2 linked regions of the Macaca mulatta genome follow. The protein of the gene in region 2 interacts with the protein of the main gene of each other region in a biochemical or structural test. Links are inferred from orthologs where the notes say so. Each region holds a gene or a part of one and is shown on either strand. Other genes may lie near its edges.

What was found. The genes of interacting proteins can lie anywhere in the genome.
Region 1: the proteins of TERT (region 2) and CIB1 form a complex in vitro, tested with the Homo sapiens proteins (2 studies listed by BioGRID). The link is inferred for Macaca mulatta from reciprocal best matches to the Homo sapiens genes TERT and CIB1.

Annotation. Positions count from the first base shown.
Region 1 is NC_133412.1:80,060,900-80,064,642, reverse strand, and holds the start of CIB1 (calcium and integrin-binding protein 1), read left to right. Parts: upstream 1-1,617; 5' UTR 1,618-1,670; coding exon 1,671-1,721; intron 1,722-1,851; coding exon 1,852-1,886; intron 1,887-3,113; coding exon 3,114-3,342; intron 3,343-3,743. UniProt on the Homo sapiens protein: Calcium-binding protein that plays a role in the regulation of numerous cellular processes, such as cell differentiation, cell division, cell proliferation, cell migration, thrombosis, angiogenesis, cardiac hypertrophy and apoptosis.
Region 2 is NC_133411.1:2,391,981-2,395,623, reverse strand, and holds part of TERT (telomerase reverse transcriptase), read left to right. Parts: intron 1-771; coding exon 772-867; intron 868-1,801; coding exon 1,802-1,887; intron 1,888-3,231; coding exon 3,232-3,345; intron 3,346-3,643. UniProt on the Homo sapiens protein: Telomerase is a ribonucleoprotein enzyme essential for the replication of chromosome termini in most eukaryotes. Active in progenitor and cancer cells. Inactive, or very low activity, in normal somatic cells.

The sequences.
Region 1 (3,743 bases), on a different chromosome or scaffold from region 2:
TATACCCTAGGTTTTTTTTTTTTTTTTTTTTTTTTTTTTTTTTTTTTGAGAGAGTCTCACTCTGTTGCCCAGGCTGGACTGCAGTGGCACAATCTCTACTCACTGCAGCCTCCAGCTCCCAGGTTCTACCACGCCTGGTTAATTTTTGTATTTTTAGTAGAGACGGGGTATTGCCATGTTGGCCATGCTGGTCTTGAACTCCTGGCCTCAAGTGATCCGCCTGCTTCAGCCTCCCAAAGTGCTGAGATTACAGGCATGAGCCACCACGCCTGGCCTTGAATATTTCTACAGTGATGGAATGTACATATTAATACAGTGGGTCTTATTAAACACATGCTGCCAAGGAGAAGCAATGGGTATTCTTCAAGTGTAAAGTAGAATCCTAGGCAGTCTAGGGAGTCAGGAAAGGCTTCCCTGAGGATAAGATGGAAGAGGGACTGAGGGCCCAACGTGGCTGAAACACAGAGAGCCAATAGGAGCAAGTCCAGTTACAGAGGGCCAGGATTTGGGTTTTTAACCATTTAATGATTATAAACTGAGATTAACATGCTCAGATTTCGACTTTACAAAGATCAGCAAGTATAATGGATTGGAAGGATCAAGAATTAATCCCAGCCTGACCAACAACCTCCACTTCCTCCTCCCAGCAGTTTGGAATCCTTACCTTTTGCAGTAGTATACGTTCATTCATTTATTATGCATTCGATAATATTTACTGAAAGCCTACTATGTGCCAAACATTGTTCTAGAGGTTAAGAGGGGACAAGAGCAAACGGGTCAGCAGCCTAGGGGTGAGATGGGGTCAAAAGGACAGCAGGTCAGCTGGAATGAAGACAAGACCAGTGGAGCGCCTTTAAAGGTGCCTTGGACTGGACCGATCACCTTCTAAATGCCTGAGCCCGGAAAAATCACTAAAACCCTTTGGACTTACGTATTTCCATCTTTGTAAAATGGGAACCTACCTTGCAAGGGATGTTGCAACAATCGAAGAAAACTATGCACAGTGCTTCACATCCAGTGGGTCCTCAGTAAATAGCCTAAGAATGAAGCAAGGTTATGGTTACTTCTGGAAGAGGTGGCTTGGGGGCTGCGACAGGTGCAGCGATTGCCTGATGATAACATCTAGAAAAGCCCTTGCTGGGCAGAGGGGCAGGCGACGACCTCGGCCACTCAGCGAGTCTCCAGGTTTCCCGGAAACGCTAGCTCCAGTGACTTCTCAGACGCTCCTACGGGACCGCACCCAGGGCAGCCGCCGCCACCACCTACTGCAGCCGAAGCGGATGGACCTCGCGACTTACCCTGCAGCCGCTGCCGGGGCCACAGCGAGGTCACGACTCCCGTGACGCATACGCAGCCAGCACGCACGCGCGCGGCGTGGCCCGCCCCCGCCCACCCCGGAGGCGGGGCCGTGAGTCCTGGGCTCCGCCCCGGAGCGTCGGGCCCCTCCCAGGGCCCCGCCTCCCGCTCGCCAGGGACCGGTCGCAGCCGGCGGCTCGCCTGCCAAACCCGGCTGGGAACGCCTGGGCGCTTTTAGGACGGGGCGGGCCCGGGGGTGGTGGCCCCAGGAGCGGTTGCCGCGGGGACCGGGCAGTGACGCGGCCCAAGGGCGGAAGTGAGAAAGTTGTCTGCGTCTCTAGGCGAGTTGGCGGAGCTGTGCGCGCGGCGGGGAGATGGGGGGCTCGGGCAGTCGCCTGTCCAAGGAGCTGCTGGCCGAGTACCAGGTGCGCGGGACGCCTGGCCCTAGGGAGCTCGTGTGCCGGCCTGTTCCCCGGAGCCGGGTCCGGAGCGGGCTGCGGGGCGGCCGCGGCCTCCCAGCGGTCCGCTAATGCCAGCTCTCGCTTTGCCTTCCAGGACTTGACGTTCCTGACGAAGCAGGAGATCCTCTTGTAAGTGCTGCCTCCGACCCCGGGATCCTCTAGAGACAGCTTCGGGGGCGCCGTCCCAAGGGAGGGGCGGGGGCTGGCCTGAGGTCTGCAGAGGACCGGGAGCTGGAGGCCAGGAGACCCAGCCCGGGCTGCGCCCTTCTCCCGGCACGCCCTCCCCGCCCTCGCCTGAGGCCCCAGCGTGGCACCGCGGAGCCACCTCACAGCCTCCAGGAAAAGTTAGGCTCTCTGACCCTGAGCTCCACTAGCTTCAGCACTGCCGAACTTCCTGCCCCAGTCCGGCAGGGGCCGACCTTGCCCGGTGGCTAAACCACAGAAGCCTTGGGGAGCCTGGCTCTTTCTCCCAACTTTACCTGAATAATACAGTAACCGTTATCGCTTTCTGAGCACTCACCATGTGCCAGGGACTGTGCTACATTGTTGCCTGCATTACCTAATTTAATCTTTAGGAGAGAGGTATTGGACAATGAAACAGGTTCAGAAAGGTTTGGTAACTGCTTAAGACAACACTCTTGAGTAAATGGATTTGAACTTGGGCTGGAAGCCCTTTTGCCAGATTTTATGCAGGCCAGGGCACTTTGAGTGAGGAGGTGCCTGGGCTTCCTGCGGCAATGGGAAGGAGGCGGAGGCCGAGGAGGAGGACAGTTCAGGGTGGCTGCTAAAAAGGAGGCTTTGAGGGCAAGAGATCCCTGGAGTGATGGTGAGAATGAGATTTTTGGTTGTGCTCTTTTCTCCCTGTTTTTGTTTTTTTTTTTTCTCTCTCTCTCTTTTTTGAGACAGAGTCTCGCTCTGTCACCCAGGCTGGAGTGCTGGGGCACGATCTCGGCTCACTGCAGCCTCTGCCTCTTTGTTCAAGTGATTCTCCTGCCTCAGCCTCCTGAGTAGCTGGGATTACAGGCAACTGCCACCATGCCCAGCTAATTTTTGTATTTTTAGTAGAAAAGGGGTTTCACCATGTTGCTCAGACTGGTCTCAGACTCCTGACCTCAAATGCTCCCACCGCCTTGGACTCCCAAAGTGCTGGGGTTACAGGTGTGAGCCACCATGCATGGCCAGTTCTTTAGGGCCAACTTCTGGCCTTTTCCCCAACTCTTCATCCCTCAGGGATCTCTAGAATCAGTGCCCAGCACATAGTAGATGCTCAGTAAATACTTATTGCAAGAAAAGACTCCTAGGCTGTACTGCCTTGTGACATGTCCTTTTGCTTACTGTTGCCTGATGACTCGGAAGTTCTGTGCATGTGGTTTTAGCTCCTCACCTGGTTGATAATGAGCAGCAGGCAAGGAGTGGGAATGAACACACAGGGAAACCAATCGCTGAGAACACCGACAGTTCCCCTCTCTCTACCAGAGCCCACAGGCGGTTTTGTGAGCTGCTTCCCCAGGAGCAGCGGAGCGTGGAGCAGTCACTTCTGGCACAAGTGCCCTTCGAGCAGATTCTCAGCCTTCCAGAGCTCAAGGTGCAAGCGCTTCCCCTGGTTGACACCTCTCCCACCACTCCCTCCCTGCTAGACCCCCTAACTCCATCTGCCACTAGCTTTGAGATCATGGGGTCACTGGGCCCCATTCTGGTCATTTTTCTGCTTAGTTCTAATTTTCTGGGGACAAGGACTTGACCAAAATCACCTGGCAGAATTATCTAGAATGGTGCTTTTCAAATGGGGATTCTAGAACATAATCTTGGAAGTTCAGAGAAGTTTTATCCCTTAAGAGGAGTTGAGTTACCTTATTAAAGTTTGAGGAACACTGTTCTAGAGGCTGATTGCCACTCCGTGGGGCTGCTGCGAAATATCTGTGCAAAAGGCCTGGCCCAGTGCCTGTAACACAATAGTTGTTCAATTAAATATTTGTGTTTTAAAAT
Region 2 (3,643 bases):
GGGGTCTGATGTGTGGTGACTGTGGATGGCGGTCGGTCGTGGGGTCTGATGTGTGGTGACTGTGGATGGCGGTCGGTCGTGGGGTCTGATGTGTGGTGACTGTGGATGGCGGTCGGTCGTGGGGTCTGATGTGTGGTGACTGTGGATGGCGGTCGGTCGTGGGGTCTGATGTGTGGTGACTGTGGATGGCGGTCGGTCATGGGGTCTGACATGTGGTGACTGTGGATGGCAGTCGGTTGTGGGGTCTGATGTGTGGTGACTAGGTGGTGGACGGTCGTGGGACGGTTGTGGGGGTCTGATGTGTGGTGACTGTGGATGGCAGTCGGTTGTGGGGTCTGATGTGTGGTGACTGTGGATGGCGGTCGGTCACGGGGTTCTGATGTGTGGTGACTGTGGATGGTGGTCAGTCATGGGGTCTGATGTGTGGTGACTGTGGATGGCGGTTGGTTGTGGGGTCTGATGTGTGGTGACTGTGGGTGGCGGACGGTCGTGGGACGGTCGTGGGGGTCTGACATGTGGTGATTGTGGATGGCGGTCGGTCACGGGGGTCTGATGTGTGGTGGCTGCAGGTGGAGTCCCAGGTGTGTCTGTAGCTGCTTTGTGTCCCCGGCCCCTCAGCTCCCCTTTCCCAAGCTCCCCGGGGGCTCCCTGGGCTTCCTCCTGCCATCGGGCTTGGCTTCAGGTCCACGTGTCCTGGTTGGAAGAAACAAGTGCCCAGCTCTGGCCAGGGTGGGCCACATTTGTGGCTCATGCCCTCTCCTCTGCCGGCAGGTCTCTACCTTGACGGACCTCCAGCCGTACATGCGACAGTTCGTGGCTCACCTGCAGGAGACCAGCCCGCTGAGAGATGCCGTCGTCATTGAGCAGGTCTGAGCACTGCCCCCAGGGTTGGGCATGGACCCCAGCAGTGGGTCCTCACCTGGGGCATCACTGGGCTCATCACCAGGCAGACTGTTGGCCCTGGGGGGCGGTCGGGGGAATGAGCTGTGGTGGGGGCATGAGGAGCTGTGTGCCTTGGCGGAATCTAAGCTGGGCCGGGCTGTGACAGCTGCTGCATTCAGGCACCTGCTCACGTTTGACCACTTGGCCTCTCTCCAGCCCCGCAGTGACTTTATTCATGATTTGCTAAACGTCTTCTCTGGCAATTTTGATCTTGAGGCCAAAGGAAAGGTGTCCCCCTCCTTTAGGAGGGCAGGCCGTGTTTGAGCCGCATCCCACCGAGCTGGCCCCTCAGTGCTGGGTGCGAGGCCAAGGGAAATGTGTGCCCCTTCTTAGAAGGACAGGCCGTGTTTGAGCCGCGTTCCGCTGAGCTGGCCCCTCAGTGCTGGGTCTGTTCACGTGACCCTGTGGCTCTTTGCAGATGCCCGTTTAACGCTTGTTCCACTTTAAGGGACAGTCGTGTCCACTGAGTGAGGCTGAGAGACCTCTGGGCAAACTTCCTTGGCTCCCAGAGTGGGGGTGGGGGTGGCGTGGGCTCCTGGGACCCAGACCCAGTGCCCGGCAGCCGGGCAGCAACTTATGGATCACGTGTGCCATCTGGGCCACGGTGGGCTGTGTGGGTCTGAGCCCAGCTGGACACACAGGTGGCTCAGAGGGGATGTTCTGTGTCACACACTCTGCCTAAGCCCCTGTGTGTCTGCAGACTCGGCCCGGCCAGCCCACGATGGCCCTGCATTCCAGCCCAGCCCACACTTCATCACGAACACCGACCCCAGAAGGGATGGAGGGTCTTGGCCACGTGGTCCTGCCTATCTCGGTACCCACCGGCTCACTCTCGTGTGTCTGTCTTCTGCTTTCCCAGAGTTCCTCCCTGAACGAGACCAGCAGTGGCCTCTTTGACGTCTTCCTACGCTTCGTGTGCCACCACGCCGTGCGCATCGGGGGCAAGTGAGTCGGGTGGCCGGGTGCCATTGCCCAGCGGGTGGGTGGGCGGACTGGCAGGGCTTCTGCTCACCTCTGCCCTGCCCCTTCCCCACTGCCCTTCTCCCGGGGCCACCAGGGTCTCCTTTTCTGGCCCCCCACCCCTCCGGCTCCTGGGCTGCAGGTGCCCAAGGCCCCGGGAACATGGCCCAGCTTGCAGCTGCTGGAGCAGAGCAGATGCTACGTGAGGCCTGGAAATGGCAAGCGGGGCGTGGACTTGCTCCTGTGCGGAGGACGAGGGGTGTGGGGTGTGTCTGGGTTGGGGGTGCGGCTGAGCGTTTGAGCCTGCAGCTTGTCAGCTCCAAGTTACTACTGACGCTGGACACCCCGCTGTCACACGCTGTATCTCTCTCTCCATATACAAGAGGATTTTATCTGATTCTCATTCCCGTCCCTGTCGCGTGACTCCCGCAAGGGCACGGGCTCTTCTCTCTGTGGCTAGATTTCCCATCTGGAAAGTGGGGGGTTGACCGTGTAGTTTGCTCCTCTCGGGGGCTCTGTGCTGGCCATGGGGCAGGTGGCCTGGGATAGCTCAAACTCCTGACCTCAGGTGATCCACCCACCTTGGCCTCCCAAAGTGCTGGGATTACAGGCGTGAGCCACCACGCCTGGCCGGAAAGCTTCTTTTTAAGGTGACCGCCTACAGCACTTCCCGAAAATAACAGGTCTTGTTTTTGCAATAGGCTGCAAGTGTCTCTTAGCAACAGGAGTGGGCATCCTATGGGCTCTGGGGATGGCCGAGGGTCACGTGGCAGCCATGCCTTCTATGTGCACCTTCAGGTTCCAAGGGGCTATTCTGCTCTCACTGTTTGTCTGAAAACGCACCCTTGGCGTCCTTGTTTGTTTGGAGAGTGTCTGCGTCTCGTTGGTTGTGGTGAAACCAGGGGCAAGGCTGTATGGGTTGGCACACAGCTGCTACATGTAGGGCTGTGAACTTTCACCGTGGATAAATTCCTTGAAAAGAAAGGAGTCCAGTTAAGCATTCCTTCTGGGTCAAGTGTCTGGTTCTGTGAATAAACTCGAAGATTTAAGAAACCTTAATGAAAGAAAGCCTTGATGGTTGAGAACAAGGATGTGGTCACAGCTGTGGCTGGATCTGCGCTAAGCCGCCCCAGTTCGCAGTGAGAGTGGGCGCGGGGATTGTGTTCAGAGGTCTCGTCTGGTGTGTTTGTGAGGTGTTTGCCGGCTGAATGGTAGACGTGTTGTTGTGTGTGGAGGTGATGTGTATGAGGGTCTGTGTGTGGTTCTGTGTGAGTGTACACATGTCCACACATGCCCCACCCATCGCTTACCTGCGTCTTCCCGCCCCAGGTCCTACGTCCAGTGCCAGGGGATCCCGCAGGGCTCCATCCTGTCCACGCTGCTCTGCAGCCTGTGCTATGGCGACATGGAGAACAAGCTGTTTGCAGGGATGCGGCGGGACGGGTGAGGCCTCCTCTTTCCCAGGGGTCTTGGGTGGGGGACGATTTGCTTTTAACGTGTTCAGTATTAATATTCCTGGTGCTCTGGATATCATGACTGCTCTGTCTTGAGGAACCAGACAAGGTTGCAGCCCCTCCTTGGTGTGAAGCCACACAGGAGGGGTTGCACAGCCCGAGGACTGCGGACTCTGTCCAGCGGCCATGTCCAGAGGCCTCGGGGCTCAGCAGGCAGGAGGGCCACTGCCCTGCATGACGCACGTGTGAATTCAACACCGAGGAAGCACACCAGCTTCCATCACATC